Drosophila melanogaster: one gene and its partners. The protein of the gene in region 2 purifies or fractionates together with the protein of the main gene of each other region. This does not show direct contact. Each region holds a gene or a part of one and is shown on either strand. Other genes may lie near its edges. The genes, in order: Vps51, Arl5 and scat.

Region 1 (3,756 bases), on a different chromosome or scaffold from region 2:
AATCAAAAATAGTTGCAATAGAAAGCTCACCAGTATGTGAACGCCCTGTTGCTCGAGTTCCAGACACGTTTTCGACAGCACCAGCAGTAGATTGGGTGGACTGGAGCTGGAGGCATCTCCGAAACCACACATCACCTTGGCAATATGACGTAGGAAGCCAATGAGTAGGTTCTCCCGAATGCCCTCTACGCACAGGGCGCCCTTGTGTTCCGCCTTGATGTTAAACGACCAGTCGGTGCGCAGGAATATAAGCAAGTCCTGCAGTACACCCTTTATTTTCTCCACCATGGACACATAAAGGTTGCTTATCAGATCACCGAGATTGAGACCAGCAGCTGCATCGCTCTTGGCAGAAACCAGCGACAGACGAACCGCACTCAAACTGTCGGCAAAGTGATCTTTGAGGTTTTTGGCATGGGCATCGCATAGTTGGTGGGCAGCCGAAATAATGATAGATACTGTGTTGCGTTGGACCTCCAAGCCGCGGCAGATATTTCGCATGGCCTGAAGGCGCCGATGAAGTCGATCCAGAGCGCGTAGCATTACCTGGGTATCGCCGTAGCCAATGTCGGACTCAACACGATCCTGGACGAGTGTCAGATACTTTTCGATGTTCTGATTGAGGAAGACATTTAGCTCCTGCAGGGCGTTCTCCTGAAAGTCATCGCTGAAAATGGAATGGATAATAAAACTCAATTAAGATTATACAAAATATTGTTCAATTTACCGCTCATGCTCGTAGTGCTTGGCCACAAACATGTCAAAGTAGGAAGTCACTACCAGTGCCAGATCGTTGAGGAAACCATCGATGCCCATGTCCACAAACTCCAGCATATCACGCTCTGTTTGATCCTGCAGCATGACGATTTGCTCGTGCAGTCGTTTGCCAGCGCAAGTCAGCATTTCGCTTGCCAGATCCGAAGTCTTTTCGTCCAGCTGCAGGAGTAGCTCTCCAATTTCCGTCAAGGATTGGGCCGTGTTCCCAGCCCTTTGAAAGTCACTTCGCAATTGCTCCTTGAGATCTGCCATGATGGCGTCGCAATCTCGCTGGATTCCATCGAAGGACGGCTGTCGACCGTACTGGGCGAACACCTTCTGGGCATGCAGGTAGTCCTGGACAGCTTGTGCGTAGTTCTGTTCCTCGATGAGGGACTTCAGTTTAGCTGGCAGAGTTGAGAGAAACTGCAGCCTTTTGAGGAGCGAGTGTTTCTCGGACAGGCGACATAGTTGCGATCTGGTGCCCTGCAGCGTTCCGGTTATTTGCTCACTAAAAGTCGTTATGGATTGCATCTTGGTCATCAGTAGGTTCACATCCGTTTCCATCTGCTTGAAGTCATCTTTCATCCGGCGAATTGTATCCGTGGCGGAGATGAATTTGTTGTAATTCTCGTAGACCAGCGTCTGCATATCAGAGTGCAATGTCTGTGTGTCCTTGACCACCGCCGCCTCCGTATCCATTATTTGCTTTAAGGAGCAATCCTTTATTTGTGAGTAACAGCCAGAACAAAAAGTGCATAAGTTAATGATTATTACTTCACTATTTTGTTGTTCTTACCTTGAGCAACCTTTCCAGATACTTTTCCGCATCGAAGCTGGAGCTGTCCATGTCGAAGGGATTGGCTTTGGTTTCAGCCATTTTGTAGAACTTTTTTTTACCACTAGTCTAAATAAATAAATAAACTAAATGTTGTGAACTTGTTGTTGCTGAAGATTTATCGTTTTTTTCGTATATCGATAAGTTAAGGTGTGTTGGGCAACGAAAAATGTTTCCCTCATTTAACAGCTGACTACCAATATTGTTATCGATATCCAATACCGCCACACAATCATTTTTTGAACGGTGCGCGTTTAGCAACTTTTTATTTTAAATTAAATAGAAATATTATTATATTATTATTATATTATTAAGTGAATAATAATTTAGACAGTTAAATGTTAATGCAGAATAGTACTGCTATGGCATTATATTGAAAGAATTTTAATTTTTAATATTTTTCTGAGTATTTATAAAGTTAGTGTCTTTATTAAATATATTATTTTATTATCTTTTTTATTGTTTTTTCTTTTTGTTTTTATTTTTAGGCACATAGGTGTGTGATGAATTGGTATTAAATCGTGAGAGACGTGAACTGAGATTATCTTAGTTTGCAAAGCTCTCTGTCATTTTTATTCTAATCGCGGCTTTGTTATTGGGAATCTCCCATTTCAAACTGATAAGAAAATACTTGTTTGTTTTTCATAAATGGCATTAATGTAAAAGGTTTTATTAAAGCAATCACAACATGAAGCTATTACTCTTTGTTTCCGCATTAATTGCAGCTCTGTGCAGCTCATTTGTGACTGCTGGTTAGTAACAACAAAATGTTAGTTAACTAATGTACCTAATTACTTAAACATTTTGTAGATTGCTTAACGGACCCCGTGACAATGCTGTGCATTTTGGACCCAAATCATGGCAAATAACTTTGTATATCACCTGGCTCAATAAAGCACAAAAGTAGAACACGATGTGGGCTTCTGTATCCTAAGTAATTCAACAGTCTCCCCAGACTGAGTTACGTGTGGCAAATCGCATTAAACATTCCACGCCCACCGCCTCCACACTACCAGACATCTTTTTTGTTAAGGTCTTATACCCTGTCGTTGGGTATTTCGAAACTGCGATTAACTATGTAACGCTTATTGAAAGATATATTCTTCTGAATTCTGAATTGCCCTATGTTACAGTTTTAATATCTTTTAAACATCATTAAATCATTTTTTGTAATGGGTATTTTCAGTGTCGTGGCATAAATATGTAGCAGTTGTTTGTACTTCTTGGTGCGTCCTTTTTTATTTCGGTGGGAGTTCGTCTGCCCGCTGGCGACCGTGTCAAGTTGAATGAACATGGACAAGTTTTTGCCACATTCCGAGGGCCTAAAGTTCCCTGTGCTGCTGTATCTCGCATCTGAGTCTCGCTTTTCGGCTGCTGGCCCTGCAGCATTCCCCGTAATTTTCCCACCATTCGCACTATATTTTATCCTGGGCTCCTTTCGCTCTCGTTCCTTTGTGGCGTCTCATTTCAAATACATTAACATTTTGACCTTTCGCAAAAAAGTTCGAGCTGTTGCCGGGGCCGAATTTAATTTCGAGTTGTGTGCAGATTGTGCAAATCACACGCTCTCCAATGCCATCAGCCTCCAAACTTGTATCATGTGCACTGAGAAAAATGTATAGCAATGAGGAGTTTGATGAGGATCCTAATTCGCAACACACTATGCTATTATATGTTTGTAATGAATAACCATTATTCATATTCCAAATCATTTCTATGATTGAAAACTAAAACTTTTAATTGCAATGGTCTTCTTAAAGGTTAGACAAACAAAAAAAGAAAAGACCGACAGTGGGACAGTGTGTCACACACTCGCGCTTGTGTGTGGCATGAACTTTGCTTTCATCAAACTGAAAATTGAATTTACGTAAGCCGAGCGAAATATAACAAAAAAAAAAAGTGAAAAGCTGAAGGACGTGAGGGCGGCGGAAAGCGTCGAACGTGTCAAGGTCAAGTTGCCATTGTCCCAGGTTTTCCACACCTCACTTTCTCCCCCACCCCACTCCTGCTCCCCTTCTCACTTCTGCGTGCGGCACAGAGAAAGCTGTGCACACCACCCACGTTCGGCCCACTAATATGTTTTGTGCAGTTTGAAGTGCGCCAAGTCGTTAAATTAATTTCAGTGCACTCAAAAGCAGGAGCAGCGGAAACTGGAGCACACA
Region 2 (3,756 bases):
GCGCCAACACGATGCCAACAATGTGGAGGAGGTGCCAGAAAACACCATCACCTTGGGCCAGGGAAAGCCTTTAAAGAGTTGCAGCAGCTCATGCAATCTCACCTAGACCTAAATCCGCTCTTTAGTTTGCTTTTACTTTTGTGATCAAATTGTTCTTGTGGCTATATATTAGTATTCTAATGCTTTAACCTAATCCTAGACACTAACTTTTACACAACCATGTATTTATTTTTGACGATAGAGTACAAACAATCTCACACATCAGCGAATCGAGCCAACAATGTCAATTACAAGGCAATGCTCAGAGAGGCAAATACGTCCACTTCTCTATTTGTAATTTGTATTCAATTTGATATGCGACAGTGTCGAAATAAACTCGTTTATTTTGTAATTTTATTGGAAGTATCGTAGTTAAATTGGCTTAGCTCCTAGACATTATCCATATACACGTAGATTTAAATCATCGAGGGACTCCTGTTCGGACGTATTTTACACTAAATAAAATTGGCTTGGCAACAACTTTTCAAACAATTTGGAAACGCTTAAAAATTGTTTATATCAAAATTGGTTTACTTTCTCTAGACAGCTAGTCGTTAATGATTAATTAGCTAATATGTAGCATGTGTGGCGGGTCATTTGTTCTTGATGCGCTGCACGATCCACTCTAATCCTTGATAGAGTCCTTCGCCGGTGAGCGCACAGCAGGCCTGGATGTGCCATTGGTGCTTCTTGATGGAGGTGAGGTCCAGTTGTCGTGAGATTTCCGCCGCCGACATAGAGCCCTTGAGATCCTGCTTATTGGCATAGACCAGCAAACTGGCCTTGCTCAGATCCTCATGTTGCAGCATCCGGTAGAGCTCTTCCCGCGTAACAGCTAACCGTTCCCGGTCCGTGGAGTCGATGACCATGATCACCAGCTCTGTGTTCGTGTAGTAGGTGCTCCAAGCGGCGCGCAGACTCTGCTGACCACCAAGATCCCAGACAAGAAAGTGTATATTCCGCCAGACGACCTCCTCCACGTTGGAACCGATCGTGGGACTTGTGTGGACCACTTCGTTCATCAGGAACTGGTACAGGATGGTGGTTTTGCCCGCGTTGTCCAGACCCACCATCACCAGCTTGTGCTCCTCGTTGCCAAACATCCGCCAGAGCCGCGATAATAACAGTCCCATATTTGAACCTTATTTTTAGCTATATACGTATATAATCAATTGTTGATTATGCTGCAGCTGCTGTTATTGTTGTTGCTGCTTCCACCGATTAGAGATTTGATTTCGAACGATGACGGCGATTGCCTCACACACAGGTTATCGGCTGGCCTGCGTGTGTATGCGTGGTAGACCCGTGTGTGTGGGTGTAAGTGAACGCTGAGCTTTGTTGTTGTTTCCGCAGGGGAAGGCGAAGGCCGTACGGTAAATTATTCACTGATTTAACTATTCAGCTATTCACTCCACACTCTCACACCCTAATTACTGTTGTTGTTTTCGCCAAATGGGAATTTTTTTGGGGGGATTGGTGAGCGATTTTCAGGTGGTTTGCCTTTGGGTGGTTTCCATTCGTTTCGTTGCAGCGGGAAACGCTACTTCGTTTACGCGTCGCAGTGGGTTTAGAACAGCCGTTGTTGATAATTTAATTAACAGAGTTTTAATTAAGAAAGTAAACAGCAGAAGTGATTAATTAATATCACTTGGAATCGATAGTGCTGCTATCGATAACTGCGGGCAGTGTGGGGAAGAAAGTAAAGCTTAATGAGACCGTAACCATTTAGTGCTTAACAACGTTTCTTTTGCATTTCCAAAACAAGTTATTTTTGAATATTGAACCTATTTAAAGAATTATTTTCAAATTTAAAATTTAGATTTAGTCATTACTTATAAATTATTATTATTAACAACACTACCGACGTTACCAGTGTGGCCATCCTCGCGGCAAACATCTGTTCACGGCGGTTGCTGTTGTGTTGTTCTTAACATCTAATTAGCTTCCCACCGGTTGCAATGAAAATAATTTTGAGCCTGCTGCTCCTGGCTCTCTCTATCGCTCAGTTGGACGCCTCAAGGTCAGCCACATCCGACCAGGCTCCCATTGTCGAGTGTCCCGGACGCAGTGTTCCCCAGCTCCGTGCGGAAGCGTCAGAGTCAGAGATCTCGCTGCTATTTTACTACGTGTCCTGGGCCAGCGAAGCACGGCAGGCACGACTGGTCTACAATGGACTGGCCCACTATTACCAGGAGTATGGCTTCTTTGGAGCCATCGATTGCTGGCACTTGCAGTGCAATTGCAGCCGTACTTTGATGCCGGCACCAGGAGTCGCCGGCGCAGGAGGTTATCCTGACAAATGGCCCACGCTGATCGTGCGCTACGGCCAAAAGCAGTTACTCCAGTACCAGGGCTCGTGGAGCTTTGAAGATCTCGCCCGGTTCATGAATAACCTGCTTCAGCCACTGGACCGGGCACACAGTAGTCAGGATCTCGCCGCCATTCGGAAGCACTCGGATGCGGTGGTTTTGGGTCTGCTTGACTCGCCAGACGACAAGGCCTACAATCTTTACTTGGCTGCCGGTCTGCGCTGGCTGGAACTGGATCCGGAGAGGAATATCCGCTTCACCGTGTACTTTGGCAACAGTGCCAGGAAGATGTTGAAGTCCTCGGAGGCCAAGCTGCCCCAGTTTGTAGTTATCGACAGCCGAAATGGAGTTCATACGTTTAATGGTACATCTGGAGTATGGAAGACCATCGACATTCTGCGCTGGGTACGGAGCACACTCAAAAATATGTCGCTGTTCTCCAATGGCTATGGCACTCCTATGACCATCGCCATGAAGGCACGACATGTCCCCGTGCTGGCTATGGGAGTTCGAATGAACCAATATCACCATGCTAGCGTCATGGGCGAGGAGATGGCTTACGCTCAAAAAAAGCAGTCGGAGGGGTGCGAAGACTACTGGAAAAAATTCGATAAACAATCTGAAGACATATCCTCCTCCCTAAATCAAGTTCCCAAGGAGCTGTTTGGGGATGGTGAACAAACCCGGACATGTTACCCGGCCTGGAGTAAAAACAAGACCACACTTAAGAACTATTATCGGATTAATAGGTATCTAAACCACCTATGGAGGCAGTACTCGCACCAGAACCATCCGAGTTATCGAAACGTCCCCCACTTGCTGCGGCTTCACTCCAGAAACCTTTGCCTGGCACACTCACAGCATGGAACGCCGGCCATAAAAATCGGCATTGCCAAAATGGTAACCAAATATGGCCAGCTCATTTGGCAGCACTCGACGGAGCGCGCAGCCCACAATCGGTCGCTGGGCGTGGTGATCTTCGATTCTGTGAAATATAGAGACTATCTACACCAGCTTGGCATTCAGCAAACCCATCAGCAGGTGCAGGTTTTCATCTTGGATGCGGCTGAAGAGTCACTGTATGTTATGCCACAGCAACACACATTCTCCTACGTAGCTCTTAAAGATTTTATACGGCAGTTTTACGCCAGAACATTGCCAAGGACTCACAAAAATGCTCTTGCCATGATGGAATCTGGGTTCAGTAGAAAATACAATAGACAGATGCTGTTGCAGGCAATCCAGCGACCAAATGTCACCAATGTGGTATTTATGCATCGTCCTGACTGCGCTCTGTCAGCCGTTCTATCCCAAGCATTTCTGCAGGTTTCGGCGCTGCTCGGCAGCCCCGAGGTGCACTTTGTACGCTTCGATAGCCAGGCTAATGATCTGCCCTGGGAGTTGGCCA
Region 3 (3,756 bases), on a different chromosome or scaffold from region 2:
CTCAATCAGCAGCTGTTTTATGATGGCTCGAATGGTGGCGATTGCTTCTTGCTGGTAAGCCTGGACAAAGGAGAAGTTCTGCTTGCGCAACAGGCCCATCACAATAGCTACGAGTTTATCCTCCTCGGCGCAAACGCTGTCGGTTTCCCGGAGGGCATCCGTTAACGGTCGATTTAGATCGGCGGCAGCATAGCGCTCGAATTCCGTGGTAAGCATTTTGTCAATAAGCTTCTCCATTTCGCTAAGCTGCATAGGCAAATGCTTAAAGCAGTGAATGCCAAGGAGTTCGGCGGAAAGTATTTCCTGCGTGGTGCCTATCAAATCCAAGGCTGCCACATAGTCCTGGGTGCCCAGTAGGAGCTGCAGCATCGGTTGCGTCTTGTGTACGGTGGCCATCAGTCGGAGTTTGTCTAGTGTGAGGTTATAGTGCTGTCTTCTTTGGGCGAAACGCAGCACTTTGAAGCTGTCTACAACCGAGTGGCTGTGGAGTTCGGCCAGTGCTGCCCGCAACTGACGTACTTGGTCGGCCGCCTGCTCCATCTCAGCCAGAATAGCGTGCTGCGTGGTCATGGCGTGAAAGAACGCAGCCGATTTCTGCGATACCTGTTGCGCTATTTTAACTTCCACCATGTCCAGGTAGTGACTCAGCTGTTCCTGCAGCTGACGACCAGTTTGCTGATGACTTTCCGGACTGGAAGCCGATGTTTGCATGTAATTAGGAAATACCTGCTTAAAGGTTGCCGGATGATGAAGCTGCAGTTGTGATTTCAGAAAGATCTCGGGCACAGAACTCAAGTGTGTTGGTGTCTGACCACCAGTTCCCGGTCCAGGTGCTCCTTGTGCTCCATTCTCCAGCGGTTTATCACGCTCCAGTTGTTGCTGCCGCCGCTCATGCCAACGATATCGCTTCCCTATGCTGCCCAGATACACGGTAAAATCCGCATGGGTTATATCGGGCAATCGGGGTGATGGGGGCACATGACTTCGTTCCACAAAATGCTCGCCCCACTTTTTGGTAAACAGATTACTCTGCTTTCCTCGCGAGGGATCGTTGAGCACCGCTGGCAGGTTTTGGGCCGCCGAGTAGACTCCCCATTCGGGAGGCATTTCGCGCGTGTGCTGATTGACATGGTACTTGGCGACATGGGCGTCGTAATCGCGATCTGAGACTCCGTCCAGTGGAAGCGAGGCACATACTCCATTGAAGCCATAGCGGCACACAAATGAGCCACCCTCCCGGGTACAGTGACGATTTCGCAGGTGACTGTAATGCGTAATGAGAGCATTTATTAAAACAGCTTTATAAGATCTGAGTAACTTTAATGAATCAATATTCTATTAAATTCCAATTGAATTTGCAACACATTCTATTATCTTTAAAATTACATATATAGAAGTTGTATTGTTTTCCGTATAATCACTTTTAGACAATCCCAAATATAACTTACGTACAAAACACCTCTAAACGAGGTTTGTGAGTTCGACTGCAGCTATACAATTTTAATTATTTCTACCTGTCTGTGCAATTTACCTGGCATTTATCGTTTTAACTCATACATGCATATAAAGTTAAGATAAAAATGGTATTGACTCGTAAGGCTGCTCAAAGTTCTATTATATGGGAAGATTTGGACGACACTCACTTGACGAAGTCGCTGATGCTTTTAAAGTGCTCCCGGGTGCAGTAGTAGCAGCTCTGCCAGCTGGGCGCCACTCCTCCGGCAATTCCACCGACGCTAGCCGTCGATAGCTTTCTGATACCCGAGTTCCCTGCTGCCGGTCCAGTATCAACGGACGTGGCGGCACCTCCGGCGGATCTTGTCGTGGCCATAACACATGCTCTGCGTTTAAAGTGCCGCGCCGTATGGTTTCCCCGGTGGTTCACCTGCTCCCAATCGTTGACGTGTTATGTCAATGTTTGTTTTCTACCTTCGCTCGTCTGCCTCTCTTGCCAGATGTTGCATTTTGGTTGCTCCGCAATAAGTCCACTTTCATTGGCTGTTCGTTCTCTAGCCTTGGAATGGGCACATTTCGTCCGATTTATGGGTGTTTCTGTTGCTTCTGCGGTCGCTTAATTGAGCAATTGTAAGTGGAACAATATTATGACGAAGTTCAGTGTTGTAAAACAGCGGCGGACTGGATGGCAGCTGGCGAGGGCTGGAAACGGTCAAGCGCGCGATGCCAGCAGCTCGAAATTAAAATATGAAAGTAATTAATTTTAACAGAAAATAAATATAGTATATGTTTAGTTAATATAATTAATGTAATTTGAATATCTAAAAAACAAAATATCAAATAAATAGAATTATGCTTTAAAAATTTAAGTTGAATAATAATTATATGTTTTAATTATATTAAACATTCAGGCAGAACTGTTTTATTTTTTAAATAAAAATGTTTATACATTTCCTGGCATACAATCGTATCGTGCAAATCGTGTCTCAAAAATACCAAACGTTATCCAACACTACATCTGAGCAAAATCAGCTGACGACTGACAGTCGAAATTGGGGCGCTCGAGCGAAATTGCGGCGCACCGGCTTTTTGAATCTTTTCGAAGTGGTGCAGCGAATAATTTTGATTATCTAGCTAGCAAAGAACTGCAAAGATAATCATGCGACTGGCACAACGTTACGGAATTGCACTGGTTGCGCTGCTTATGGTTGGGGCGACCGTATTGTTCTTCTGGTCGGAAAATATCATTAACTACGAAAACATCAAGTTCAACAGTCCTGTGGAGCTGGTCTGGTGGTCCAGGGATATGTCCTGGAATTACGACGTGCAGCGCCAGTGCGGAATTCATACTTGCCGCATCACCAACAAGCGGAGCCGCCGTCCGTGGGCCCGGGTTCGTTTCAAAAACCAAAAGTCTAGATTTCTTTTTGTTTCACATCCGGCAGACATGATAAGAATTGGATTGAAAATAATAATAATATAGGGCTCCAACTGTTTGAGATACTGTACCATAGTTCTGAAAAATATGTAAACACATAGCTTAGACTGAGAAATGCATAGCACTGCAGATACAAATTCGCTTACTTCAGTAAGATATGTAATTGTAGATTCATTGTAATTTGATATAATAATAACGGAATGTCTCTTACATTTTTCACAGGGCGTCCTGTTTTACGGCTCAAACATAAAGACGGGAGACTTTCCCCTGCCTCGGAACGAGCACCAAATCTGGGCCCTACTGCATGAAGAATCACCAAGGAACACCCCTTTTGTGTCCAATAAAGAGTTCCTTCGCCACTTCCATTTCACATCCACGTTTAGCCGCTACAGCAACTTGCCGCTGACTACGATGTACTTGCCCAGTGGCGAGGCGCTTACTTCGAAGGATTACTATGTTACGTTTGACGGCAAGTCAAAGTACGGATACCGTCCATCCACATCGGTGGTGTTCCTCCAAAGCGACTGCGACACGATGTCTGGAAGGGAGGACTACGTAAAGGAACTGATGAAACATCTTCCGATCGATTCCTACGGCAGCTGCCTACGGAATAGAGATCTGCCAGAGAGGCAAGTAGGCTATTCCATTTGTATCCTATTTATAATCCCAAACATTTTACACACTCATAACAAACACGCGTGACAAACACATCACGTGAAACACTATCGTTCTAAAATTCCTTTGCCATCATGACATCACCAAGTGCCAACGAGCTTCCCAAGGTCTGTTGTTCAGAGTGCTGGGTGCAGTTGTACGGCTCGCTGCCTCAAATGAGCAACGTTTCCAGAGAATGCTGCTGTCGT

The links.
Region 1: the proteins of Arl5 (region 2) and Vps51 purify together in Drosophila melanogaster (affinity purification with mass spectrometry, with the first as the bait; one study listed by BioGRID). This does not show direct contact.
Region 3: the proteins of Arl5 (region 2) and scat purify together in Drosophila melanogaster (affinity purification with mass spectrometry, with the first as the bait; one study listed by BioGRID). This does not show direct contact.

Annotation. Positions count from the first base shown.
Region 1 is NT_033778.4:18,709,140-18,712,895, forward strand, and holds the start of Vps51 (vacuolar protein sorting 51), read right to left. Parts: upstream 1,727-3,756; 5' UTR 1,637-1,726; coding exon 1,556-1,636; intron 1,480-1,555; coding exon 728-1,479; intron 668-727; coding exon 31-667; intron 1-30. UniProt on the Drosophila melanogaster protein: May act as a component of the GARP complex that is involved in retrograde transport from early and late endosomes to the trans-Golgi network (TGN).
Region 2 is NT_037436.4:8,298,119-8,301,874, forward strand, and holds Arl5 (ADP-ribosylation factor-like 5), read right to left. Parts: upstream 1,722-3,756; 5' UTR 1,173-1,721; coding exon 633-1,172; 3' UTR 383-632; downstream 1-382. Other genes in the region: Rab19, read left to right, coding at 2-106; CG13671 (uncharacterized protein), read left to right, coding at 1,998-3,756.
Region 3 is NT_033779.5:9,429,789-9,433,544, reverse strand, and holds the start of scat (scattered), read right to left. Parts: upstream 2,141-3,756; 5' UTR 1,832-2,140; coding exon 1,644-1,831; intron 1,265-1,643; coding exon 1-1,264. Other genes in the region: FucTB (alpha1,3-fucosyltransferase B), read left to right, coding at 2,615-2,848, 3,116-3,522. UniProt on the Drosophila melanogaster protein: May be involved in retrograde transport from early and late endosomes to late Golgi. Required during spermatogenesis for sperm individualization.